Linked DNA regions of Callithrix jacchus. The protein of the gene in region 5 purifies or fractionates together with the protein of the main gene of each other region. This does not show direct contact. Links are inferred from orthologs where the notes say so. Each region holds a gene or a part of one and is shown on either strand. Other genes may lie near its edges. The genes, in order: VAPB, SLC39A7, ATP1A1, TIMM50, ERBB2, TFRC and LRPPRC.

Region 1 (3,939 bases), about 66 Mb from region 5:
GAGTTTGTACTGGGATTTGGGGTTTCAGGGAGTTAATGCAAGAAAGAACTGCTCAAGAAGAATCAACATAATTGTAACTTGGACACTGGGTGCATCTATGCATAAAGGGACTGAGAAGATCTGACTCTTGTCTACTTACCAGCCTTGTCTCCCTTCTTACCAGGCAACCACAAAAAATGTTCTTTGTTGCTGTCATTCAGAACTACTAGTGGTGGCCAGGCGCGATGGCTCACACCTGTAATCCCAACACTTTGGGAGGCCAAGGAGGGCGGATCACTTGAGGTCCGGAGTCTGAGACCAGCCTGGCCAACATGTTGAAACCCAATCTCTACTAAAAATACAAAATTTAGCCAGGGGTGGTGGCACAGGCCTGTATGTAATCCCAGTTACTCAAGAGGCTGAGGCAGGAGAATCACTTGAACCTGGGAGGCAGAGGTTGCAGGGACATGGTGCTCTGCACTCCAGCTTGGGTGACAGCGAGACCTCTATCTCAAAACAAAACAAAACAAAACAAAACAAAACAAAACCTACTAGTGTCATCCCAAAGGAGCCAGTCAAGTGTTTGTGCCTCAGTGCATACAATTTCCTCTGCCTGAAACATCCCCGCCCCCCCGCCTTTCCTTCTTTGAAACTTTTTCTACTTCAACTTTTTAACTGAGCTCAAATGACACCTCTTTCAGAAGCTGACCTTCTCAATGCTCCCAGAGCACTCTGGATTACCCTACATCACTGACCTGTCCTGGTTGTTATTCTCATCTGCCCCCATTCCCTAAACTACTGGGAGGAGGCTGAGGGGAAAATGGGAGAGTACAACTGATATGACTTGGCTTCTCCCGGTATCTGACACACAGATCAGGTATTCACTAAATGTTTCTGGACTAACTGAAAGAACACGCCAATGCACGGGAGAAGCCAGAACTTCAGACAACTCAAGTGGAAACCATGGCTCACCACATTCACTTTAGCTACCTGGACTCGCTGTCCAGTCTGGCTTCTGCAGAAAGCCAGGAGAACATCAGGAAAGCTCAAGTACTATCCGGGAATTAGGATCCAGGTTTTTGTGGGGTTTTTTGTTTTCTTCATTTTAGTTGGAAAACCTTTGGTTCTCTGTAAATTCAGTTATTTCACATTGCTAACATGGAAGGCAAAGTGACAGCCACAGTTCTGGAGTATTTCCCAGAGATCAGATAGCATAATGGTTATGAGTGTGAACTCTGACATCTGGGTTCAAATGTACCATTTGCCAACTGGGTAACTTTGGGTAAGTTACCCTACACTACTTCCCACCAGGACACATAAACTGGAGAGTCTCTGGCCATTCATTCATTCATACCTACCAACTGAGCATCTACTGTGAGCTTGGTGCTAGCGATATAGTGGTAACCTTGCCTTCCCATCTAAAATACACTTTCATGGAGTCAGACTGTTCCATTTCCTACACAGCACTTAGCACTATCTGCAATGATCTTGTGTGCTGGTTTTTCTGCCCTCGTCGGAAGGTAAGTTCTACTAGAGCAGAGGCCTTGTCTGTCTTGTTCATCCATCATCTACCTCCGCAGTGCTTTCCACATTACTGGATGCACATAAAAAAGAAGGAATGAGCAAGTCAGACAAGAACATTTTGCCTCGTGGTCCTGGTGAAGGTAGGAAAAAAAACAAAAACAACAACATAGAAAACATAAAGGCACAAATGACAAAGATAACGGCATCTGGGAGAAACCACGGTCATGGCTTCCCACCAACTCAGGTGTTGCTCCAGGCTCTGCCAAGAAAAAGGATCCCAGCACCCTGGCAGCCTCCCTCAGCAGCACCCAGGAGACAGCATGAGGGAGGCAGCGAAAGTAAAGTGGGTTCGATCCCATCGGAAGTCCTTAGGAGGTTCATTTGTTGGCTCAACAGGTATTTACTAGGCATCTAATGTGTGCTAGGTATACAGTAGCGAACTGACAAGAGCCTGTCCTCATGGAGTTTCCTTTCTAGTGTTGAAACAGTGATTCTGGGCATGAAAAGTGCCGCGTTGACCACGAAACTGGGTGACGGAATGGGGAACGACAGCAGGTGTGCACGGTGGACTGGCTGGTCACAGCAGGCCTCTCTGAACAGGTGACATCTCAGCTAAGCCTTGAGGTCAACACTGTCACAGAGCAGGGGAAGAACCTTCCAGGCAACGGCGGAGGCTCACACTACAGAAGACCACAAACTCGTCAGTAAGTTACAAGGCAATGTGACAAGTGCCTCGAAGGCAGGTCCCGGGAGGCTGAGGGTCGGGGAGGCGGCGCAAGCCCCGGCTCTGGCACCAGACCTCTCGGGCCGTCTCGGGTCGCGGCAGCTCCAGGCAGTTCTGCGGCGTGCCGCGAGCGCCACGGCCCAACCGGGCCCCGCCGCCCCCCGCGACTGCGCCGTCAGGGTGGGGACGAGGGCCGACGTCACCCGCCGCGCCCGACTCAGTCCCTTCAGCACTGGGGCGGGGGCCGCGGGCCAGAAGGTGGCGGCCTCCGGGGCTTACCTCGGAATTTGAGCTCGTGCTGCGGCTCGAGGCTCAGGACCTGCTCCACCTTCGCCATGTTCCTCAGCGGCGGAGCACCTTTGGCGGGGAGACCCCTGAGAGGTCACCGGGGCGGGAAGCGTTAATGCTGCGCCCGCTTTTAGTTTTACAAAAAGGCGGAGGCCAGTCGGGGCACGGGAGGGGTTGTCGACGGGGTGAGCGCGCGGAGCGGGGGGGGGTCAGTCTACGCGGTGCAGGCGCAGGGGCGGAGGGCGAGGGCGAGGCCGCGGTGCCCGGCGAGCTGACGGCACGCACGGACGCACGCACGCACGCACGCAGAGACGTACACACGCACGCACGCACGCAGCAGGCTAGCCCGCTCGGACGGCGGGAAGCTGCGCCCTGCGCAGCCGGCTCCAGGGGCGGGGACGAAAGCTGCGCGCGTGGAGCCCCTCCCGGGACAGTGCGCAGGCGCGGCAGAAGCCACAGGGGCGGGACTGCGGAGCAGCAAGGGGCGGGGCCTCGCGCAGCTCAGGAGGCGGGGTCTGTAGTCCAGCTACTATGATAGCCATGGCGAAAACTATTAAGGGACCAATGGGGGCCAGCCTCGTCTTAAGTGCTTTATTCAATAGTAGCAATTGGTAAGAATAAACTTCCACTTTTCTCTTGCTTATGTAGTGCCAGGCACTGTTAGAAACTTTGAATAATAGTAAAAGTACTTAGTATAAACATGATGTTTATGACTGAGTGATGTGCTAGGCACTGTGACATCTTGTAAATAATAATTATAAATATAATAAACTACCAATTATTGCCTTTATATGTTGTGCTACTCTGCTGAATGCTTTCAATAACAACAGCAACTACAATAAATACAAGCTGCTCTACATTAAATGTTTACTATGCAACTGGCACTGTGCTGAATTCTTTACTAATTAGATTTGTTTATGCAACAAATATTTAGAAATTTGTTCAATGATCAGAAAAGCTAACCTGATTCCAACCCTCTTACAATAGCCTAGTGAAGAGACATCTGTTGAATACGTAACCACACAAGTAAGTTAAATAATTAAAAATTGATGGGAAATCCAGATCTGCTTGACCTAAAAGTGGATGCTCTACATCAGGATTACCATTTAAATTGTATTTCATTATATTATGTATGCTGTGGAAGTAAAATAGGTGTTCTTAATAGTCTCCTATACATACCTATAGAGGTGAAACAAACATGGCAAATAGCTAACAATGGCTGACTCTACGTCACAGGCATGTAATTTTCTTGTACTGTTCCTCCCACTTTTCTGTATACTTGAAATGTGTCATGACAAAAAGATTTCTTAAAAGAATAATCTTTGTATTTTACCTGGAGCATTTAGTCCATTTACATTTATTATATTTACTAACATATCTGGAATTATTTCTACCATTTTATTTTGTTATTTCTATTTGTCCTG
Region 2 (4,029 bases), on a different chromosome or scaffold from region 5:
GTAGATAAAGCCACCCGCAGTAAATGGCAGGACCCAGCCAGGACCTGCACCACCTGCAACTTCACTGCCCACTGTTCCTCCTTCAGCGAGAAGGGCACAGGCAGTGCCTGCCAGTGCCCCTACTGCTGTCAGTAGTTGCAGACGCATTGCCTGATGGGCAGAAAAGAGAAAGAGACACTCACCAACAGCTAAAGATTATCAGTGGGTTTAGAAGTAGCTGGTGGGATATAGGTGTAAGGGACATGGATTTGGAAACTAAACATCAAAGTAAAAAGGGGGAGGGTCTAGAATAGACAATTTCTGAAAAAAATCTTAGAGATCAGAGATCCTTTCCACAGACTTTCTGATTGAGTAGGTGTGTGTGTGTAAGACTCCACTAAACCATTCAGATTGTTTATAGACCATAGTTTAAGAAATACTGAGCTAAAGAAAAGAAACCAGAACTTCTTCCCACTCATTTCTAGGGGACTTGTCAATGATAGCATGAATTGTTTGGAACTAATAAGAGGCTGTTTTGGGTTTAAGGTGAGTGAGCAGAAACAAAGGGTTTGAGGCAGCAGTGTTCGGCAGACATCACCAACCTGCTTTTTGCTGCAGCCAGACTGGACCAAGATGGCAAAGTCTCCAACCTCATGGGGCACTTCATGTAGCAGGACAGTCATTGTGGTCAGGATCCCTAGTCCCCGACCCCCTCGAAAGGAAGCCCCAATGGCCAGACCATCAGTGAAGTTGTGTGCCAAGTCAGCAGCCAGATTCAGGTATCCTGACACACGCAGGTCTTGTACAGGAAAAGAAGAGAAAATGATCAGAGGCCTCCATCACCAGTTGTTCCAGTCTTGGTCAGCTATCCTCACATCTCCCCTCAGAGACCACTTCACACCCAGTCCCTTAGTGTTTCCCAGACACCTTCCATTACCCATAGCACATATTCCATGTGATTCGTGAGGATGTCCCTTGCCCAAATTTATCACCAACTCTGGCCCTTACCTAAGCCTCTTTTTTCTTCTTCAGGCTTCTGAGGTCTCACTGGCCCATCTTTGGGTACTGTGCTTCCTCCTCGCCTCTTCTGGACACCCCCCGTTTCCTTTTCTTCTTCCTCTGAGCTCTGCTTCTCCTTGGTAGAACGCTCTGAGGGAAGAAAGGAGTTGGTCAGAGTGGAGAACAGATCTTCCAATATGTCCTCTCCCTCCTGAGGGCCATAAGATGAGGCGATTCTGAGGCAGGCAAGTCAGCTTTTGGAAAGTTGTTCCTGGGCTCACCCTGTCTTCCATGTCCATGACTTCCACGTGTGTGACTATGAGCATGTCCATGTCCATGACTGTGTCCATGTCCTCCTTTCACATGTCTCACGAATTTCTCCACGACCAGAAAGGCAACAATTCCACTGAGAACCCACAGTCCCACAGATAGAATGGGGCCCTGGCCTGGGAATAGAGGCATTGAGACATTAAGGGAGATGTGCATTCCAGACTTCTCCTCCTTAAGTGCAGGAGGTGAGGAATAGGGAGAGACGGACCTTCCCCAGCACCCCAACTCCTGTCCCCATCTGTCTCTTCCTCACCACTGTGGGAGTGTCCATGTCCAGGTTGCTCCAGAGTGTGGTGAGAATGAGGTTCTGGAAGAAGGGGGGGAAGCCAAATGAGGGAATATCTAACCCAAAGGGTGTGTATTTGGGGGAATATCGGAAGATCAGGAATCAGAAAGGAGAAAGAACCCTTAAAAGAACAAAATACGTTAGATTTGAGGTAGAAGTCAGAGGTTACTTACCAAGAGCATGAGGAATGAGGTGCAGGAAGGCGTCTCCCAGGAGCCCACCAGAAGCAAAACTGAGCAAGATCTGAAGTAGAGAGCGATGCCGGGGAGAGTTTGACTCCACAGGGATAAGGAAGAGGACAAAAAATGGAGCTGCTGAGATCAGCACTGTGGCCCCCAGTGCCTGGTGAGGGAGAATCAGGGTCAAGTACTGTGGAGTTTCCCGACAATCCAGAACCAGCCCCTCTCTCTCCCATCCCCTGGAAACTCACATAAGCCCAGAGAGTGACAGCATCCAGGTCCTGCTTGATGCCCAGAGCCCCAGACTCCCCATAGCCTCCATGGCTATGGTCATGGTCATGTCCATGTCCTCTGTGGTAGAGGTTCTCATGGGAGTGGCCATGGCTATGGCCATGGTGTAAATCCTCATGTGAATGTCCATGGTCGTGACCGTGGGTATGTCCATGCCAGATGCTCTCGTGAGTGTGGCCATGGCCGTGGGCATGGTTGTGTCCATGGTGGAAATCTTCATGTGAGTGCCTGTGGCTGTGGCCATGGAAGTCTTCTTGCAGATCGTCGTGCAGGTCGTCATAACCCCCGTGTCCAGCCACCAGAAGCCCCAAGGCTGCCCAGGTCAGCAGTCCCACGGCCACCCAGCGGGGGGCCCCCAGACCTTTGGCCATCACGCTGACCAGAGGGACAGAGACAGTGACTCCACTTGACTCTCAACTAACTCTATACCTACACAGGGTCCTCTTTACTCCAGTCGCGCTCTCCGTCCACCTCTATGGGCCGCTCTCCCATTCCCTTAAGTTTCCACCTACATAGTTCCCAAGACTAGTTCTCTTTATGCCGAACCCCCTCGCGGATGCAGGGCTCTGGGACACTAGTCTTTGACCAGCCACTTTACGGACTCTCTGGGCCCTCGTCTCTATGGCTCATTAGGTGAGGGAATGGCCTGGAAGGGATAGAATGGAAAAACAGAATTCTCACCGGCTCCGGGATCCTCTCCTTTCCCCGTTTGCTTGGACGTGGCAGTCCCGCCTTTAGCTCCCGCGAGAACAGGAAGTTCCGTTCCACCTTCGCCCTAATGCCTTTACCAATATGGCGGCACTCCGGTAGCGACGAAGCCACCCTGAGCTGACGCGCATGCGCGAGCCTGGAGGTTATTTGAGGGGAAGGTGGGCAAGGCGGGCTAACAGGCTGGAGGAGACCGCCTCCTCGGTTTCCAACTAGACGAGGGGGCGGGAACTTGCGCCGACACTTCCCGTCTGTACAAAGATGGCTGCCACATTGGCGCTGTCATTTTGGTACAGAGCAGAACGACAAGCTTAATTCCACCCAATCCAGGCCAGAGTCGTTTTCTCAGGTGCTTCCTCGTGCTCAGCTAATCTTCCGATCAACTCTTGGGAATCTCTGGCACCTCTTCGATATCCCTACTCTCAGCCAGGGATCATGTCTTGGGCCGCTCGCCCGCCCTTCCTCCCTCAGCGGCATGCCGCAGGGCAGTGTGGGCCGGTGGGGGTGCGAAAAGAAATGCATTGTGGGGTCGCGTCCCGGTGGCGGCGGCGACGGCCCTGGCTGGATCCCGCAGCGGCGGCGGCGGCGGCGGCAGGCGGAGAACAACAAACCCCGGAACCGGAGCCGGGGGAGGCCGGACGGGACGGGATGGGCGACAGCGGGCGGGGTGAGTGTCCCTGCGGAAGGGCAGGCAAGCCAGTGACCGCGTTATCTGCAACCCCCTCCCCCACACCCTCCCCAGTGCTCTTTTCCTGGCGCTCCCGCCCCCTTGTTTGTAAACACGCGTCCCTTCCCTCCCGAGGGCCTTAGCGCCCTCCTCCCCCCAGGGCGGGGCGGGGAAGGGGAGCTTCAGATCTCCTAGCCTTGACCGCTTGAGGCCTGGGGCACTGGAGGTCGCGGGCGTGGGAAGGGCACGATTCCTCTTAAGCTTCAGGACTTTGGACGTTTGAAGGCAGATTCTGCGTTATAGGAGGGGTCTCTCCCACCTCTTTCCCCTGTACGCCCCGGCTACCCAGCTTTACGCTGGGAATAGAGGGGCTGGATGGGTACCCCACGTGCTGCCCCACCCACGAGACAGGTGTGGCTTGGGGATGACCTGGTATTCATTCAAATGGATTGCTTGGAAGATGTTTCTCAACTGAGCTATCCTCCTCTCCTTGTCAACTCCCTCCTCTCACCACAATGAGGAGTACCTTGTTTTTTTGTTTTTTCAGCCAGTCAAATATAGCAGTGGGAGGTTGTATACCAATTTTAGTG
Region 3 (3,500 bases), on a different chromosome or scaffold from region 5:
TCAAGCCAGGTGTACTCAAGGATGAGAGAAAGAATGAAGAAAGACACACCCAGGAACACAGCCACACCCGTGATGATGTGGATAAAATGTTCAATTTCTGCAGCAATGGGGGTCTGGCCTCCTTCGAGCCCAGAAGCAAGTGTGGCAATTCTTCCCATCACAGTGCGATCCCCAGTGTAGACAACAATACCACGTGCGGTGCCTTTAAAAGAAGGGGGGGAGAACTGTACCTAATTTTATCTAACCTGAAAGAAGCCACAGATTTTACACAATTACATAGCATGGCTTAAAAAAAAAAAAAAAGTTGACCTGACAACAGCACACTCTTTAAGGGCCAGCTCTTTGGCTGTATATGCTGTTTGTCAAAGGGACTTCAACCCATTCACAGGACAGCAGCTCCAACACCCATGCCAGGCTGGTGGTGTTGAGAGAAGAGGCAGGGTGGAGGGAAGGGAAATAGCCACCAGGTTTCCTGCCAGCATGGAAGACACCTCTGCTCTGTGCTCGACACTGTTGTCAGAAATGGAGCCAACAAAACGCAAGATTGTGCCTATGGTTTTGTTTATGTTAATGCCCGAGAGAAATACCACACCATGTTCTAAGTGCCAAAAAATGGCCTACCTTCAACACAATTGGTTGAAAAGAAGGCAATGTTCCTAGTCTCCAGGGGGTTTTCATTTGTGAAATCTGGAGACCTCGTCTGGGGTTCTGATTCACCAGTGAGTGAGGAGTTATCCACCTGTATGTGAGAAAGAAAGGAAAATGTCATGTGACTCTATCAGCCTCATCATGGGGTACTGTACCCCCTCAACTCGCACTGCCCAAACAGCAGAGCTATGAGCTTTGTTAAAATATCCACCTTGCAGCCATTTGCAGATATGATTCTGAGGTCAGCAGGAATTCGGTCTCCTCCTTTCACTTCTACCAGATCCCCAACCACAACCTCCTCGGCATTTATGCTCATTTTCTCACCATTTCGAATCACAAGGGCTTGCTTTGGAAAGGAAACCATTTATACCGTTAGTATACCAACAAGGAGAGGGTAATGTCCAAAACAAGAAAATCAAGTTAAAAATGGTCTACAATCCTAATTATCTCAATACACAACAAAGATATGATTCACTCTTTTATTTATGCAGGTTACAAAAACTTGCTTTCCAGTTTAAGAGAGATTGCTGTTACATGGTATGCCTGCATTCAGAGTTTACCTTCCAAAGAAAAGCTGCCACTTTTTTGGGGTAGAAGGAAAAGAGGTGGTTTTGGGTGGGCTAGAAGACATCCATCTCTCTGATGGAGTCATATTAATACTGGGAAAGCCTTAAATTCCCACTAAGTCACAGGCTGACAAGCTTGGAGAAGGACAAAGCATCTGGTACCTGAGGGACCATGTTTTTGAAGGATTCCATAATCTTTGAACTTTTAGCTTCCTGATAGTAGGAGAAGCAACCAGTTATAATGACAACGGCTGATAGCACCACACCCAGGTACAGCTGGAAGGGAAAAGAAAAGTTAAGGCCGATGGCTCTACGCAAGAATTAGGGACATTCAATTCATTTTTTGACTGAATAAAAAACAGATTTTTCAATAGAGAAATCAAGGTTTCAGAAATATGGAACTCATGTTTTCCTATTTATCCTTCCAGAGACCACACAGGAAGGGTCAGAAATGGAGTCAGCCACACCAACACCTGATCACTAACTGGACGTTTGGAAATGTTCTAGATCCATCTATGAAACAAAATGTTTTTCAACCAACTTGTGGATTTTGAAGAATGGCCACCAGCATTTCCAGACAGGTGACTGTGCCAACAGTAAAAGCTGTGCTCTGCCATCCAGTGGGTGGCGGCAGGGGCCTGACAGGGCTGCCTGCTCAGCAGTACATGCAGGTGGGCTTCCCACTTGTAAGAGCATCTACACGTGGGTGGTAGAAAGAGGAACTGGAAAAAAAAAGGATGGGTCTTGAAGGCAACAGCTGCTGACACTATTCTCCAGTGTTCGTAACTATCAAGCAATGAGTGGTAATTGAGAATCAGTGGGAGACAAGACAGAGAAGAAACCTGATGTGTACTACAAATCCACACGCTGAATGACACAACTCACATTATCGTTTTGAGGTTCCTCTTCTGTAGCAGCTTGGATGCTATAAGCCAAGAAACAAAGAATTGCTCCAATCCACAGTAACATTGAGAACCCCCCAAAGAGCTGCCGACAAAATTTGATCCATTCAGGAGTAGTGGGAGGGGGAGTGAGGGCGTTGGGACCATCTCGCGCCAGGATCTCAGCTGCTCGAGCAGATGTTAAGCCCTGAGAAGCAGAAGAATATAAATAAATAAGGCAAATCGTACGAGCATTTACAAGCCAATATACTTATCTGATAGCTGGACAGCTGCAGCAAGGATTTAAGGAAGAAACCAAATGTCCCAAGCTGGAGAGCCAAGGTAAAACCTAGCAAATTCCTCCATGAATAGTTCTCTGACGAGCCAGCTCCAACAGGGTTCAGGCAAACAATTGCCTACATTTCCCAAGGAAACCGTAACACCCAGATTCAAACTCTTCAAATTGACCCATCAATAAACTTGAATCCAGCCTGGTTTCTTCGAAGTTTTAGATCAATGGATTCATGCCAAATTGTATTTCTACCAAAAATATATCTATTTTCACAAAACCATTCCGTTTTGCAAATTAAGAGCTTTGAGTTTTCTGTGTATTGATTCTGTCAATTGGAGAGGGGAAAAAAAACCCTCTCCAAACATCAAAGGAGAAAGAACTTCCTGTGGAAATCTGCTGGGTTAACAGCCAAGTTTTAAATATACAGCTTGATTCTTTGCTTGTCTGGCAGGGAAGCGCTCACCTCCAAGTGCATTAGCCAACTCCCAGGAAACCTGGGGACAGAAAGGTGTTCACCCGAAAAACCCACTCTACTAAAGCCTGCTGTTTTTCTAATGGGCCTTAAACCCAAGATCCACTGACAGCAGACAATTAGATATAGGCTCTCATTAAGAGAGGAAAATTAGGATCATTTTTATACTATCAAAATACCAAGCTAAACAAAAGAAAATAGTTTTGTCTAGAGTATCTATTTATCTGTATTCTGTGCTCACGTTACCAAGCATTTGAGTGCTAATCTACATGCTAGGCACTAAATTCAGTGATTTCATTAACTTGTTCAATTCTCATGACAATCCTTTTTAGGCATTATTAACCTCATTTTACAAGTAAGGAAATAGACCCACAGCATTTGAGTAATGGGCATAGGTCAGAGAGAGCACACTTTATAAGACTCTAATAAAAACTTAAGTGAGATGATACATGTGAAGGGGCTGGAGACTGCCTGGCACAGTGAGCACAGTCACTGCGGCATGTTGTTCTGAGTCAAGTCGAGGCCTCCTCTTGGACCTTAGAGTAACTGCGTCAAGAAAAACACTTTCAAGCCACATTCTTCTCTATTCTCTTTTTTTGAGACGGAGTTTAGTTCTTGTTGCCCAGGCTTCAGCGCAATGG
Region 4 (4,010 bases), on a different chromosome or scaffold from region 5:
GAGGTTGCGGTGAGCCAAAATTGCGCCACTGCACTCCAGCCTGGGTGACAGAGCAAGACTCTGTCAAAAACAAAAACAAAAACAAAAAAACCCCACAATATCGAAAGCAGTTAGACTAGTAAACATATACACTTTAAACCTCCAGGTTTTCCTGCCCAAGTTAAATCAGCATAGTGATTTGTTGAAGCTAGCAAGATTCTAATCTGCCCAGTCAAACCAGCACTCACTCACCTGCCCAGTGTGAAAGACTGTATTAACATGACTGTTTGCAAATGTCCCCACATAAACAGGTGGCTTTCTGGATCCACCAATTTCATTTGACAAGACTGACAACTACTCTACTATCCAATTTGTCAGAAATTTCAGCACCAAAAGCTGGTTAACCAGATGGGGTGGGAGGAAGGAGGCATTGTTTTGAAAATGAGACTAATGGAGTAGGGGCTTGGGGGGGTTGGGTAAAGAGTTGGGAGCTGCAGATGCTCAGTCTAAGGCACAGGAACCCACGTGTCTGGAGATAGGCCACCCTGTGTCCCCAGGCCCTCCCACCCAAGGCTCCCCACCCCCATCTGTCCCTGACCATCTGCTCAGGGCTGAGGGGCCAGGGAAGTGGGCTTGGGCTTTGTAAAGTCCCTCCCCACAAAGCTATCCAGCTGCTGGCTCCCCAACCTCCCCAATGGAAGGAGGAGGGGCCAGAGACACCAGATGGGGAAAGACACATCCTTACAAATGACAGAGCTGAGAGGGTCGGGGACTCCAGAATCTGTGCTTGTTTACTCACCATTGTCGAATTCATCAGGAATCTGGGAGGTAGAGAGAAAAATGGAAGGTTTAGGATGTCAGAGGCAGAACCTCATCACACCCATAAAAGGAATCTCCAGGACCCCAAGAGGAATAAGCAAAGGTCCTTAGGAAAGAAAGGCTCACTCCAGACCAGCAATGAGCCTCAACAAACCAAAGGGGACCCCTCTCACCCACAGGCTAGGACTCCTGGCAAGGCCTCAGTCTCTTTTCCCCTCACCTTGGCACCTTTTTCGTCCACAGAGTTGTTTCCTGCAAGGGAAACCAGGATGAATATGAGGAATTGGGGTGCAGTCTCCTAGGTCCTGAGGGAGGAGTGGGATAGGAGGCCTGGACTCCTGGATCTGAGGGAAGAGAGTTAGAGGCACAGCCTTCTGGATTCAAGCCAGGAGGGGGCTGGGAGCCAAGATTCCTGGGTCTTTGAGAGAAAGGGGGCTGGGTCTGTGTCTCTTGAGTCTGAGGGATAAAGGAACTAGTGGGAAGGCTGGATTTTTGGGTGCTGAGGAAAGACAAAGTTTAGGAAGCTGATCTACGCCTATCCTTCCCCATCTTCCCCTCTTTCCTCTATCCTGGTACAGGAACCAACTAGAAAGACTAGAACCTTAAGAGGTAGAAGGGAGAAGAATTCCCTGGTTTTCAAAGGTAGGTGTCCTACTTGGCTGCCCTATGGAGGAGAGCCAGGGAATTAAGATGGAGAGGTTTGAGTGGGTAAGAGTGAGAGGTTCCACAGCGGACGAGGGAGGCAAGGAATAAAACTAGGGGGCAGCGATATGTCCCTCACCAAAGATATAGACGACGCTCACGGTCCCACCAGCTCCAAGCAGTCCAGCAAGCCAGAGAGCAACTTTTTTGGCATAGCTGGGACCCTCTGAGCCCGGCTGCTGCTGTGGCCCCTGTGCCTGAGTGCCCCCGCGGCTCCCGATCTCAGCGACCTGCGGTTGAGAAAGGGGAGGTCAAGAGAGAAGAGCTGATCGTTCCAGCATTCCAGTCCAAGAAGAATCAAGTTCAGGAGTCAAGAGGCAGACACCCACAGAGCCTGGACGTCTGTGTCCCTGGAGGGGCAGTCAGGAAGTGGGGCTGCTCAGAGGGTCAAAACCAGACTGTCCAGCGCCAGGATGCCAAGAGTTTTAAGAGCCAACAGGCCAGGTGCACAGGATCCTGCAGACAACACGACTAGAGGGTGTGGAGCCCGGAAAAGCAGATCAGGGAGAATAAGGGATGGGAAGGCCTAAACTCTGGGATGTGAAGGAACGCAGGGCACAAGGGGGAGGGGTGGGAGGGCGGGAAGGGGCAGACAGGACCGGGAGTTATGACATCTGGCTGCTTGGGGCTAAAAGGTAGCAGAGTACAGGGTAAGGGATGGGAGCAGAGGCGGCGAGAGGCAATCACTTGTCTGGGGCTTGGGGAACTAGGACACAGAAGTGATAGACTTGGAGGTCAGAATGGCTGGGTCTCTGACAACATGGAGGCAGGTCGAATTGGAAATCCAAACGTCTACCTCACCACCCTCACCACCACCACCACCACCTTGGGAGTAAAAATAACTCCCAAGGCCAGGCTGGGACTCCAGCGTCCCACTCCCCTCCTGCTCAAATAATCACCTGAGTGGTCACTGAGATGGGAAACAGGTAACCCCCTCCTCCTCCGGCGCCCACGTGGGTGGGAGGTGGGATCTGGAGGACACACCTGGGCCCCCAGCCTCCAGGCCAGGGGAGCAAGTGCTATTCACCCAGGAGGCTGGGAAGGGGCCCAAAACCCAAGCGACGTTTTATTCAGCACCCTGAGGTGCGGCGTCCCAGAACCTCCAAGCCGCGGCGATATGTCCGTAACTCCAGGGAGGGGACCCCACATTCAGAGCGCCACCCTCGTTCCGCTCACCTGATCCGGAGCCCGGGGGGGCGGCGTCGCCAACCTCGTGCACAGTCCCCGCAAGCCTAGCCGGAGCCCGCTCCGCAAGCGCGATAACAGAGCTACCGAGGTCGCCATCTTGCGCTGACGCCACGCGGCCCCACCCACTTGCTCCCTTTATTCCCGCCCCGGGCCGGAGCTACAGCCAATGGGAACGCAGAGGAGGGGCGGGCGGACGGAAGCCCGAAATAGACCAAAGGCTTCGGGCGGATTGCCGCAGGCACGTTTGCCCCAACGATTCTGTTTGATGTCCCTGGGGGCACCAACTGGGATCCAAAGTCATCTGGACCACGCCCAACTTGGGCCGTGCGGAGCGCCACCGCCGAGGCAAAGGATGCAGCAAGGGAAGTGGTCAGATTGCCTAGAGGTAAAGCAGAGGCCATAATGAAGGGAATCATTGGCTGCCTGATTTGTCCCAAAAAAAGTCAGGAGTCAGGTCGCTTGTCTCACGTGTAAGGGCATCGGCCTTCGCCTCCCAATTGTCAAAAATGGAAACTGGGGCTTAGAAAGCGACCTGAAAAGCCAGTCCTCAAAACCTTCTGGCCAGGCGCGGTGGCTCACACCTGTAACCCCAGCACTTTGGGAGGCCAAGGCAGCGGATCATCTGAGGTCAGGAGTTCAAGACCAGCCTGGCCAACATGACGAAATCCCCGTCTCTACTAAAAAAATAAAAATTAGCCAGGAGTTATGGGGCGCCCCTCTAGTCCCACCTACTGGGGAGGCTGAGGCAGGAGAGGCAGAGGTTGCAAGGAGCCTAGATTGCGGCACTGCACTCCAGCCTGGGCAACAGGAGGCTCTCTCAAAATAAATAAAAATTAAAATTAAGGCTGGCGCAGGGGCTGCGCAGGGGCTCACGCCTGTAATCCCAGCACTTTGGGAGGCCGAAGCGGGTGGATCACCTGAGGTCAGGAGTTCCAGACCAGCCTGGCTAACATGGTGAAACCCCATCTCTACTAAAAAATACAAAAATTCTCCTGCCTCGGCCTCCCAAGTAGCTGGACTACAGGAGCCTGCCACCATACCCGGCCAATTTTTTTGTATTTTTAGTAGAGACAGGGTATCACCCTGTTGGTCAGTATAGTCTCAAACTCAACTCAAATAATCTGCCCCACCTCGGCCTCTCAAACTGCTGAGATTACAGGTGTGAGCCATCACGCTCGGCCTTAAATGTTTTGTTTTTTCTTTTTTTGAGACGGAGTTTCGCTCTTGTTACCCAGGCTGGAGTGCAATGGCTCGATCTCGGCTCACCGCAACCTCCGCCTCCTGGGTTCAAGCAATTCTCCTGCCTCAGCCTCCCGAGTAGC
Region 5 (3,147 bases):
TGAGGCTCCTTTTAAAATACCAGAGCTCCTGGGTCGACATACATCCTGGTTCCCTCCCATGCCCCTTGTGGGTTCCTCCACCCAGGACCTCCAACCCTCCTCCAAGTAGCCAGCAGAGCTCAGCCACGCACATTTGACCATGATCATGTAGACATCAATGGTGCAGATGGGGGGCTGGGGCAGCCGCTCCCCCTTCTCCAGCAGGTCAGGGATCTCCCGGGCTGGGATCCCATCATAAGGTTTGGCCCCAAAAGTCATCAGCTCCCACACAGTCACACCTAAGGCAGAGACAGAGTCAGGGGTGGGAGGGCCAGCGGGAGCTTTAGTGTCTTGAGCCAGAGGTTCTGCCCAGGATCGTAGCACGGCAACAGGGGAAGATGTGAAGTCAGGAGACAGAGCCTCCCGGTCTTTCTCTAATTCTGGTTAGTGCATAGACCCTGCAAGGTGGGGCACAGGCAGCTGCTTCTCTCCCTCCACATGCTGACGTGGCCCCATCCCAGTTCTCATCCTCCCTCCAGGCAGGGCTCCTCACCCACCCCTCCCCACCACACACCGTAACTCCACACATCACTCTGGTGGGTGAACCGCCGGCGGAGAATGGACTCCAACGCCATCCACTTGATGGGCACCTGGGGCAGAAGAGGAAGTCCTCCAACTGGGTGTGGTGGGGAGGCGGCCACTCAGAGTCCTCCCAGGGGCCAGACCCACTCCACCCTGCCTCCCCTGCTCCCTCATCTAACCTTGCCCCCATCTGCATGGTATTCTGTCTCATCAATGTCCAGCAGCCGAGCTAGCCCGAAGTCTGTAATCTTGACGTGATTGGGACTCTTGACCAGCACGTTCCGGGCAGCCAAGTCCCTGTGTACGAGCCGCACATCTTCCAGGTAGCTCATCCCCTGGAATGGGAAGCACCTGTGTAGATCTGGGAGGGCCTGGCCCTGGCCACATGCCCAGCAAGCATCCCCCTCCTAGCCCCATGTGGATACAGGAGCTTGCTCCAAAGTGACCTGCACAGAGCCCAGGTGCCCTAAGTGCATACCTTGGCAATCTGCACACACCAGTTCAGCAGGTCCTGGGAGCCCAGACGTCCTCGGTGTTCCCGGACATGGTCTAAGAGGCAGCCATAGGGCATGAGCTGTGTCACCAGTTGCACTGTGGATGTCAGGCAGATGCCCAGGAGGCGGGAGACATATGGGGAGCCCACACCAGCCATCACATACGCTTCCTGGGGACAAGGATGCACTGAGAGGGTACAGGGACCACACACCCCCACCCACCACACAGCCTCCCAACCGTCACAAGCCACAGCCACGGCCCACAGCCTATGAAGGCTCCAAGTATCAGCCCGGACAACATGGTGAAACCCCATCTCTACTAAAAATACAAAAATTAGCCAGGTGCTTATAATCCCAGCGACTCAAGACGATGAAGCATGAAAATTGCTTGAACCCCAGAGGCAGAGATTGCAGTGAGCCAAGATTGGGCCACGGCACTCCAGCCTGGGTGACAGAGCAAGACTCTGTCTCCAAAAAAAGTCTAGGTTTGAGGGAGTCATATCTGCTCAAACCCCAGTGAAGAGAGACCAGAGCCCAGACCTGCAGCCCTGGGGTCCTCCCTGTCCTCCCAGCAGGAGAGGTTGGAGGGGCTTACGTCTAAGATTTCTTTGTTGGCTTTAGGGGATGTGTTTTCTCTCAACACTTTGATGGCCACTGGAATTTTCACGTTCTCCCCATCAGGGATCCAGATTCCCTGGGCAGAAAGAGGAGGATATGAGTGAGAAGAACGTGGGCGGATCCTGCCTACCTTCCAGGAGATCATTACTTGTGTTCCAAACCTCCTTCTCCACCCTGGGGGTTGGCCCCCTGCTGCCTTCTATAACAGCCCTCCCCCAAACACTGCCTCCAGATCTTGACACCCCTCCAGGCACTGGCCCCATCCTCTGGGACCGCCCACCCCAGGACCTGGCCCAGGCCCTGACCTTATAGACTGTGCCAAAAGCTCCAGATCCAAGCACCTTCACCTTCCTCAGCTCGGTCTCTTTCAGGATCCGCATCTGTGCCTGGTTGGGCATGGCTCCGCTCGGTGTCAGCGGCTCCACCAGCTGGGATGAGGGGGTGGTGGGTCAGTGCCAAGAGCCAGTGCAGACCCCATGAGGGCTGGGAGGCCTTCAGGCTGCCTCACCTCCGTTTCCTGCAGCAGCCTCCGCATCGTGTACTTCCGGATCTTCTGCTGCCGTCGCTTCATGAGGATCCCAAGGAGCAGCCCCAAGACCATGAACAGCAGAATGCCCACCACCGCAGAGATGATGGACGTCAGAGGGCTGGGGACAGGAGCCAGAGTCAGAGATTGCAAGCCAGTTTGGGGTGGGAGGGACGAAGGGGCCCACGGGGGACATGAAGGTATTGGGCATTTAGAAAGGGAAGTCAGAAGGGTGACCCACAGACTTGGACCCTCTCCTACTCTAAAACCTGCCCTGGCTCCCCACTGCCTCCACAATAAAGTTCAAACTCCTTGCAGGCAATCAGAGCCCTCTCCACATCTCCACATTCTCTATGCTCTTGCCCTTGGCTCTGGCTTAGGGCTCCACACTTCACAGTGTAAAAATCACTAAAGAGACTGTTAATACACATGCTCCTCAACTTACCATGGGACTGCATCCTGATAAACCAATTGTAAGTTGAAACTGAAAATGCATTCAAGACTCAGCCTGACTTACACATGCTCAGAACAGTTACACCGCCAGCAGCTGACAGTTGGGCAGGACCATCTAACACAAAGCCTATTTTATAATAAAGTGTTAAATAGCTCATGTTATTTATTTATTTATTTGTTTGTTTGTTTGTTTTTGAGGCAGGGCCTTGCTGTGTTGCCCAGGCTGAGTGCAATAGCGAGATCATGGCTCACTGCAGCCTTGACCTCCAGGCTCAAGCAATCCTCCCACCTCAGCTGCCCAAGTAGCTGGGACTACAGACAGGTGCCATGACACTTGGCTAATTTTTTCACTTTTTGTAGAAGTGGGGTCTCACTGTGTTGCCCAGGCTGGTCTTGAGCTCCTGGCCTCAAGGGATCCTCCCACTTTGGCCTCCCAAAGTGCTGGGATTACAGGTGTGAGCCACCATGCCTGGCTATGTAATTTATTGAATTCTG
Region 6 (3,500 bases), on a different chromosome or scaffold from region 5:
TGTGCCACCATGCCTGGATAATTTTATATTTTTGGTAGAGACAGGGTTTCTCCGTGTTGGTCAGGCTGGTCTCGAACTCCTGACCTCAGGTGATACACCTGCCTCAGCCTCCCAAAGTGCTGGGATCGCAGCACTTGAATCCCAAGTAGGGTTCACTTGAATTACAAGTGGAGTTGCCAAGTGAGCCATTGCATCTAGCCTGTTTATTTAATTTTTAAGGGACTTTCTGGCAAAAACTAGAAAGGGTGCTAGACAAATTCTAAAAAGAGCTGTAATATTTGTCCTTAGAGTTTTGCTATCTTTGCACCATATATTTCTCTGTACAAAGAATAAATTTATCTTTTCCCTTTTGCTAGCTTTCTACAGTTACAATGGTACTATAACTCTTTTTTTTTTTTTAAAGATGGGGTTTTACCATAAAGGTCAGGCTGGTCTTGAACTCCTGACCTCAGGTGATCCACCCACCTCAGCCTCCCAAAGTGCTAGGATTACAGGCGTGAGCCACCACACCCAGCTTCGGTACTATAACTCTTTAGTCTTAAGTTAATGACATTTTTTACTTCATCTAGTTGATTTATTGTACACCAGAAATTATGGATAAAGTGAGAGGATAGTCTGACCTTACAAAAATGTAGGAACTAGTGCTGAGTAAGTAGAACTATGGGAGATCAGACCAAGATGCAGTCTTGCTTCAGGGTACTCAGAAATGCTTCACAGGTAGGCAAAAATTGATACTCCATCCTAGATAGCCTATAGTGGATCTCCTGGGAGCTACTGTTTCCCCGAAAACCACCCTAAGCAGATACATTATGTTAAGATGAGGCTCTTGAAGGGAGTGCTTTATGGTGAGCAAAGAAGCTTTGAAGTCGTAAACTAACATTTGGGGCATGGTTTTTTTTTCTTAGTTTCTGTTATTCTGGCAAATCTAGAAGTTTTGGGTCACAGTTCATTTATCTGATTTTGCTTTCAAAACAACTTGTTTAATCCCTGAGTTAAATGTTTATTTTAAATTAAATTAAAGTTCATGTAAAAGACATTTTCTCCTACAGGCTGCTGAATGAAAATTCCTATGTCCCTCGTGAGGCTGGATCTCAAAAAGATGAAAATCTTGCGTGGTATATTGAAAATCAATTTCGTGAATGTAAACTAAGCAAAGTCTGGCGTGATGAACATTTTATTAAGATTCAGGTCAAAGACAGGTATGTTGGAAGATAGTAAACTTATTTTTATACAAGTGGCTATTTTCAGGTGTGCAGAATATAGCAAAGACTTTTTTTTCGAGATGGAGTCTTGCTCTGTTGCCCAGGCTGGAGTGCAATGGCACCATCTTGGCTCGCCGCAACCTCTGCCTCCCAGGTTCAAGCGATTCTCCTGCCTCAGCCTCCAGAGCAGCTGGGATTATAGGTGTGTGCCACCACGCCCAGCTAATTTTTGTATTTTTAGTAGAAATGCGGTTTCACCATGTTGGCCAGGCTGGTCTCTAACTCTTGGCCTCAGACGATCCTCCCGCCTCGGCTTCCCAAGCTGAGATTATAGGCATGAGTCGCCCCATGTGGCCCAAAGGCTTTTTTATTTTTTATTTTTTTGAGACGAAGTCTCACTCTTGTCCTGCAGGCTGGGGGTGCAATGGTGCGATCTCAGCTCACTGCAACCTCCACTTTCCAAGTTCCAGTGATTCTCCTGCCTCAGCCTCCTGAGTAGCTGGGATTACAGGTGCCTGCTACCATGCCAGGCTAATTTTTGTATTTTTAGTAGAGACAGGGTTTCACCATGTTGTCCAGGCTGGTCTCAAACTCCTGACCTCAGGTGATCCGCCTGCCTTGGCCTCTCAAAGTGCTGGGATTACAGGCGTGAGCCACCATGCACAGCCGGCCCAAAGACTTTTAAAATAAAAATTAGTGTTAAGATTTGGAGGTAAATTTCCTCAAGCAAAATGATGTAATAAGACATGCTAAAAATATAAGCTATTGCATTTTTCTGGAAGGATGACCTTAGCCTTATTTTAACTTAATCTTTTTAACAGTGCTCAAAACTCAGTGACCATAACTGGTACAAACAGTGAATTTGTTTATCTGGTGGAGAATCCTGGAGGTTACGTGGCGTATAGTCAGAACGCAACAGTCACTGTGAGTAAGGCAAACCGTTCATGAGGTTGAATCATTCAAAAACTCATCTTTTCTGTTCTTTGGAGTTATAAATGTACTTGTAAAATGTAAATGATCCTGATAGTTTGGTTTTCAACCCTCTAATGACACAGCCAACATGCAAAGTCTTCTCTCTAATCACTTTCCTCTTACCCTGCTTTATCTTTTTCTTTCTTTGTAGTACTGGTAGCACCTGACATTATGCCTTTGTTTCCATTAGAATGTGAGCCATATGGAGAACCATGAGTTTGTTCTATTTACTGCCACGTTGCAGAGCTTTGGAGAATGGCCGACATACATAGTAGTGCTTGCTATATGAATGCATATCCTCTTTGTGGGGGCAGTTCTAAGTATCCATCGTGGCTGGGGCCTAGTCATAGCTGGATTCTTAGCTCAATCTTTTTTTATTTGTTTTGAGATAGAGTGTCACTCTGTCGCCCAAGCTAGAGTGCAGTGGCATGAGCTTGGCTCACTGCAACTTCCGCCTCCCGGGCTCAAGTGAGCCTCCCGAGTAGCTGGCACATCCAGCTAATTTTTTCCTTTTTTTTCTTTTTGGTAGAGATGGGGTTTTGCCATGTTGGCCAGGCTGGTCTTGAATTGAAACGCCTGGGCTCAAGCGTTTCACCCACCTTGGCCTCCCAAAGTGCTGGGATTACAGGAGTAAGCTGCTGTGCCCAGCCCTTGGTCTTTTTAAATTTAGGCAAATACAGTCAAATTAACGCAGAAATAGAGAACAGTTAGATGGAATAATTTTCAGCTTAAAATCACATTTGTGGCTGTGTGCGGCAGCTCATGCCCGTGATCCCGGCACCTTGGGAGGCTGAGGCTGGCGGATCACTTGAGGTCAGAAGTCAGAGACTAGCCTAGCCAACATGGTGAAACCCCGTCTCTACTAAAAACACAAAAATTAGCCAGGTGTGGTGGCGTGTGCCTGTAATCCCAGCTACTCAGGAGGCTTAGGCAGGCAGGAGAATCACTTGAACCCCAGCGGGGCGGAGGTTGCAGTGAGCTGAGATTGTGGCGTTGCACTCCAGCCTGGGCAACAAGAGCAAAACTCCATCTCAAAACAACAACAGCAAAACACATTTGTAAGTCAGGTACATGTTTAGTGGATACCTTTAGAGGCAGGTGAAGTGCTATGGTGATTCCTTGCTTTTCTGGATACTTGTGCCTTATCACTTTGCCTGGCTGCATACAAGCCAGGAGATGGGTAGATCGTTCTGTTAAACAACATTGAAGATATTTGTTCAACTTCAAGCTCTCTTGTCAGGTGCTTGGTCATTAGTGTCAGGTGATAGCTGTTCATCTGAACTGTTATTAGCTTTGGAGCATAATGACATATCTAAAGTTGGTGTA
Region 7 (3,500 bases), on a different chromosome or scaffold from region 5:
CTAGATATAAGAGACCGGAGCCATGGCTTGAAAGGACATTTGGCATGTATGATAAACCTATCACGGCTGTTACTATCATTCACTTTGCAGATTATCGTAAACAAACTACAGCAACCCGAAAACATGCCATTCAAGGTGTAGCTGAAATTAGTTAACCTTTCATTTAATTGCATTCTTTACAAGCCCACGTATAATGATCAATCGTAAAAATCACAAATATTATATTTGGTTTTTCTTATTGTTATCTATCAAGAATTTTTTACCTTAATAACATTTAAATATTTAAACCAATGTTACCTCTTCTGAACAAAGCACTAATATGAGTTGCTTTAGGACATCTTTTATAGGTTGATTTTCAGCTTTTAGTGTTTCAATCGTAGACTCCAATTTAGATGATGAAAGGTGCACAGTCTACAGAAAAGAAAAAAGGAAAGAAAAATTTACTGAAAAAGGAATCATACCCCTTTTGTCACTCCTCCCTTTAAATTGACTTTTCTTTCTACTTTCCTAAAAGTCATAAATGCTATCAGGGATATTAATTGGTAATTAATTAATACCATTGTTGGACTCCAGGGGTTTATGAAACACCTGAGATTATATGCAAATTTCTTAGATGTGCTGATTTTTCTGAGATGGGAAACAGGTTTTACCAACTTTTTTTTTTTCCGACAGTCTTGCTCTGTCACCCACAACGTATTAGAGGTATACAAGATGATAAAAATGTGAGGAATCACTGGTTTCACAAGTACACAATCCAGAATCCTCATTAAATATGGTTACTATACCATGTAGAATCTAGTTAAAAACCTACTTACTTTTCGAGAGCCTAAATTCTCATTGTCAACCAACATATGAGCATCCTAAAATTGAAATTTAAATTAGCACAGAATCAGAAAACACACGTAAAAATACATCCGCAAACATCAAAAGCAAATTGTCTCACTTCATATTACTATTTTTCATCTTTCCAAAATTTTAGACATTATTTTCATACTTCATTAATCATTGTAATTAATGTTTTACATATATTCAAGATTATTTAAATAAAATTTATGAACAATAAATGAAAGCTTTGCTTTAATGGCTGTCATTAAAATAAATTTTTTTTTTTTTGGCCAAAAGCATCATACTTAAAAAATATATAAAATTTTAACATGCTGTTATATATAAGTCAAACATTTGATTGCTATTTTACACACACCTTAATCAATTCAGGAACATGGTAGCTATCCAGAAGATTACGAATGCCTTTGTAGGTATTTTCAGGAATTTTTAAATTCTGTGAGAAGGGAAGGGAGGGAGAAAAAAAAAAAACCCTGAGTTTTAGACAACTGAACTGAAATTTGTCTAACAGAAATTATCTAAGACATAATTTAAGTCTCCAACTCTTGCATGTCATTGAGAAGTGGTCTGGTTGTACTTAAAAGCAGCAATTTCAAATCTAATAGATACATGTCAGGCAGGACAGGCATTATATAGCAAAAAATGAAATGGTACCATCTCCTTCAGCTGATGGAAGTATTGTCTCAAACGCTCCTCCTTGGCCTGTACCTCTGAGTCACTCATGCTGTCAATCAAGTTATAAAGAAAATAGCCAACAGCTTCTGTGGAAAAAAACAAGAGAAAGCATTCCACTAAAATTACTGAGACTGTCATGTTATCAAGATTAATTTATAAGAAATCATTTTGGTGTGAGATGTCACCCTGATGAGAGGCTCTGAAATGGCAACAATGATCACTGAGGCATAGAGATTATGTGGTTTGGGAGCACATATCTAACTGGTGAGTGAAAGGAATATTAATTATTTTCAGACCGAGTGACAGCTTTTCAGTACTAAATCTTACTTCAATCTATTTTTTTTAACCACTCTGTGACAGAAGTGGTCCTGCCCAAGGCCTTACCCCTTTCCTGTCCAAATCACAAGTAATAAAAATAAATAAATGTCTTGTACACATTTCTATACTATTTTTTTTTTGTGGACAATATTTAGGGAAGCACATAAAATTAGAAAAGATTGTTAAATGTTGAGTACAGAAAGTTAAATAATTTTAATAAGCAGATACAGTAATCTTGTGGAGAGCTGCCTATTAGCCAATGAAAAACCAAGATTAACAAAGATGTTTTGTAACAACAGTAATTTTCCTTTGCATTCAAGCATAAAATATATAGGGCCATGTTACAATAATACATAGGACAGAAATGTAAACTTTCAAGAAGGGTACCATCTTACAGAATACTACATATTCTAAGCTTCATTATATGAAAAATGAAAATCATTAAATGTCAAAACAATGTTTTTGGGGCAATAAATTATATTTGAAGTGGAAATCCACAAAAACCTTTCCTACATTTTATGTTTAAAATTAACTACACCTGCAAAACATTAAAAGCACATAAATACTAAGAATCACTGATTTTTAAGCCTATTTCCATAGGCTGCAGAAGAAACATTTCCCTAATATCCGAAAAGGAAAAGCTTCCCAACCCTGTCTTTAAAAAAACAATTATAACAAAACCAAACACTTCAGATCTCAAAATGTTGTAATCAATATAAAGATTAATAAACAAATGTTTTAAAATTTCACTTTTAAAAATAAAGTGTTTACTGATATAATTCTCCTAACCCATTATTACACAGAAGAATGGATTTGTGGATAAGTTACAATCATCGAAATTGAAACGCTACCCGTTGGTCCTGGAGGCTTCTGGCAATAACGTGGATCCTTGTACAACAATTCTGTTATCTGGTAAGACAGAAAATTCGTGCATTGCAGCAAGAGAAGCAAACAAGAACAAATACAATCTGAAATTGAATTCTTGAAATAATAAAACCTCTTCCCAGTAAGGTATTATTCTATATCACAGTAATTCAAAACCACCCCCACCCGAGAAGGCGATTGTTTTGTTTTTAAATAATAGGTTTGTCTTTTAAAAACAAAAACAAATCCATGTTGAAGGAAAACTGCAATGTTTTGTGAAATGTCACAAAGACTCAAAACTGATTTATAAATTGATACATAAACATCACTGAAAATGAATTGTTATAAATAGAAAATAGCTGATAGGAATTATTGACCAATATTATTCTTCATCATATGGATTTTGGTTTTGTTGACAATGCACTGGTTTCCACATTTTAAGTTTTACTGAAATGTAAAGTAAAATATCCTGAACTGCTAAATAATTTATATTTTTTAGATATTAATAGCAATTTCCATTCATCTTAATGAGACTAAAACAAAAGTGGTCTAAAGATCTAAAGTTTATTCACATGGATTATTTTTCTCCCCCAAATTTTATTTTAAGTTCAGGGGTACATGTGCAGGATGTGAGGTTTGTTACACAGGTAAACGTGCACCACGATGGTTTGCTGCACAGATCATCCCACCACCCAGGTATTAAGCCTAGCATCCATTAGCTATTCTCCTTGATCCTCCCTCTTCTACTGCTGGATTCTTATCAACTGAATTCACAAACACTGAAATGTATACACAACACT

What was found.
Region 1: the proteins of ERBB2 (region 5) and VAPB purify together in Homo sapiens (affinity purification with mass spectrometry; 3 studies listed by BioGRID and IntAct, with this or other methods). This does not show direct contact. The link is inferred for Callithrix jacchus from reciprocal best matches to the Homo sapiens genes ERBB2 and VAPB.
Region 2: the proteins of ERBB2 (region 5) and SLC39A7 purify together in Homo sapiens (affinity purification with mass spectrometry; 3 studies listed by BioGRID and IntAct, with this or other methods). This does not show direct contact. The link is inferred for Callithrix jacchus from reciprocal best matches to the Homo sapiens genes ERBB2 and SLC39A7.
Region 3: the proteins of ERBB2 (region 5) and ATP1A1 purify together in Homo sapiens (affinity purification with mass spectrometry; 4 studies listed by BioGRID and IntAct, with this or other methods). This does not show direct contact. The link is inferred for Callithrix jacchus from reciprocal best matches to the Homo sapiens genes ERBB2 and ATP1A1.
Region 4: the proteins of ERBB2 (region 5) and TIMM50 purify together in Homo sapiens (affinity purification with mass spectrometry; 3 studies listed by BioGRID and IntAct, with this or other methods). This does not show direct contact. The link is inferred for Callithrix jacchus from reciprocal best matches to the Homo sapiens genes ERBB2 and TIMM50.
Region 6: the proteins of ERBB2 (region 5) and TFRC purify together in Homo sapiens (affinity purification with mass spectrometry; 3 studies listed by BioGRID and IntAct, with this or other methods). This does not show direct contact. The link is inferred for Callithrix jacchus from reciprocal best matches to the Homo sapiens genes ERBB2 and TFRC.
Region 7: the proteins of ERBB2 (region 5) and LRPPRC purify together in Homo sapiens (affinity purification with mass spectrometry; 3 studies listed by BioGRID and IntAct, with this or other methods). This does not show direct contact. The link is inferred for Callithrix jacchus from reciprocal best matches to the Homo sapiens genes ERBB2 and LRPPRC.

The regions. Positions count from the first base shown.
Region 1 is NC_133506.1:53,978,811-53,982,749, reverse strand, and holds the start of VAPB (vesicle-associated membrane protein-associated protein B/C), read right to left. Parts: upstream 2,801-3,939; 5' UTR 2,565-2,800; coding exon 2,507-2,564; intron 1-2,506. UniProt on the Homo sapiens protein: Endoplasmic reticulum (ER)-anchored protein that mediates the formation of contact sites between the ER and endosomes via interaction with FFAT motif-containing proteins such as STARD3 or WDR44.
Region 2 is NC_133505.1:41,442,358-41,446,386, reverse strand, and holds the start of SLC39A7 (zinc transporter SLC39A7), read right to left. Parts: upstream 2,801-4,029; 5' UTR 2,746-2,800; intron 2,440-2,745; 5' UTR 2,436-2,439; coding exon 2,025-2,435; intron 1,937-2,024; coding exon 1,768-1,936; intron 1,616-1,767; coding exon 1,562-1,615; intron 1,425-1,561; coding exon 1,260-1,424; intron 1,129-1,259; coding exon 988-1,128; intron 779-987; coding exon 582-778; intron 151-581; coding exon 1-150. Other genes in the region: RXRB (retinoic acid receptor RXR-beta), read left to right, coding at 3,208-3,439. UniProt on the Homo sapiens protein: Transports Zn(2+) from the endoplasmic reticulum (ER)/Golgi apparatus to the cytosol, playing an essential role in the regulation of cytosolic zinc levels.
Region 3 is NC_133508.1:154,391,555-154,395,054, reverse strand, and holds part of ATP1A1 (sodium/potassium-transporting ATPase subunit alpha-1), read right to left. Parts: intron 2,304-3,500; coding exon 2,100-2,303; intron 1,491-2,099; coding exon 1,377-1,490; intron 995-1,376; coding exon 860-994; intron 740-859; coding exon 622-739; intron 203-621; coding exon 1-202. UniProt on the Homo sapiens protein: This is the catalytic component of the active enzyme, which catalyzes the hydrolysis of ATP coupled with the exchange of sodium and potassium ions across the plasma membrane.
Region 4 is NC_133523.1:34,962,618-34,966,627, reverse strand, and holds the start of TIMM50 (mitochondrial import inner membrane translocase subunit TIM50), read right to left. Parts: upstream 2,801-4,010; 5' UTR 2,785-2,800; coding exon 2,677-2,784; intron 1,731-2,676; coding exon 1,580-1,730; intron 1,051-1,579; coding exon 1,019-1,050; intron 801-1,018; coding exon 779-800; intron 1-778. UniProt on the Homo sapiens protein: Essential component of the TIM23 complex, a complex that mediates the translocation of transit peptide-containing proteins across the mitochondrial inner membrane. Has some phosphatase activity in vitro; however such activity may not be relevant in vivo.
Region 5 is NC_133506.1:120,185,185-120,188,331, reverse strand, and holds part of ERBB2 (receptor tyrosine-protein kinase erbB-2), read right to left. Parts: intron 2,321-3,147; coding exon 2,182-2,320; intron 2,102-2,181; coding exon 1,979-2,101; intron 1,750-1,978; coding exon 1,651-1,749; intron 1,226-1,650; coding exon 1,040-1,225; intron 897-1,039; coding exon 741-896; intron 630-740; coding exon 554-629; intron 279-553; coding exon 132-278; intron 1-131. UniProt on the Homo sapiens protein: Protein tyrosine kinase that is part of several cell surface receptor complexes, but that apparently needs a coreceptor for ligand binding. Essential component of a neuregulin-receptor complex, although neuregulins do not interact with it alone.
Region 6 is NC_133518.1:80,935,807-80,939,306, forward strand, and holds part of TFRC (transferrin receptor protein 1), read left to right. Parts: intron 1-217; exon of another isoform or gene 218-280; intron 281-1,049; coding exon 1,050-1,199; intron 1,200-2,023; coding exon 2,024-2,126; intron 2,127-3,500. UniProt on the Homo sapiens protein: Cellular uptake of iron occurs via receptor-mediated endocytosis of ligand-occupied transferrin receptor into specialized endosomes. Endosomal acidification leads to iron release.
Region 7 is NC_133515.1:70,893,038-70,896,537, reverse strand, and holds part of LRPPRC (leucine-rich PPR motif-containing protein, mitochondrial), read right to left. Parts: intron 2,746-3,500; coding exon 2,688-2,745; intron 1,605-2,687; coding exon 1,498-1,604; intron 1,280-1,497; coding exon 1,202-1,279; intron 861-1,201; coding exon 816-860; intron 412-815; coding exon 298-411; intron 1-297. UniProt on the Homo sapiens protein: May play a role in RNA metabolism in both nuclei and mitochondria. In the nucleus binds to HNRPA1-associated poly(A) mRNAs and is part of nmRNP complexes at late stages of mRNA maturation which are possibly associated with nuclear mRNA export.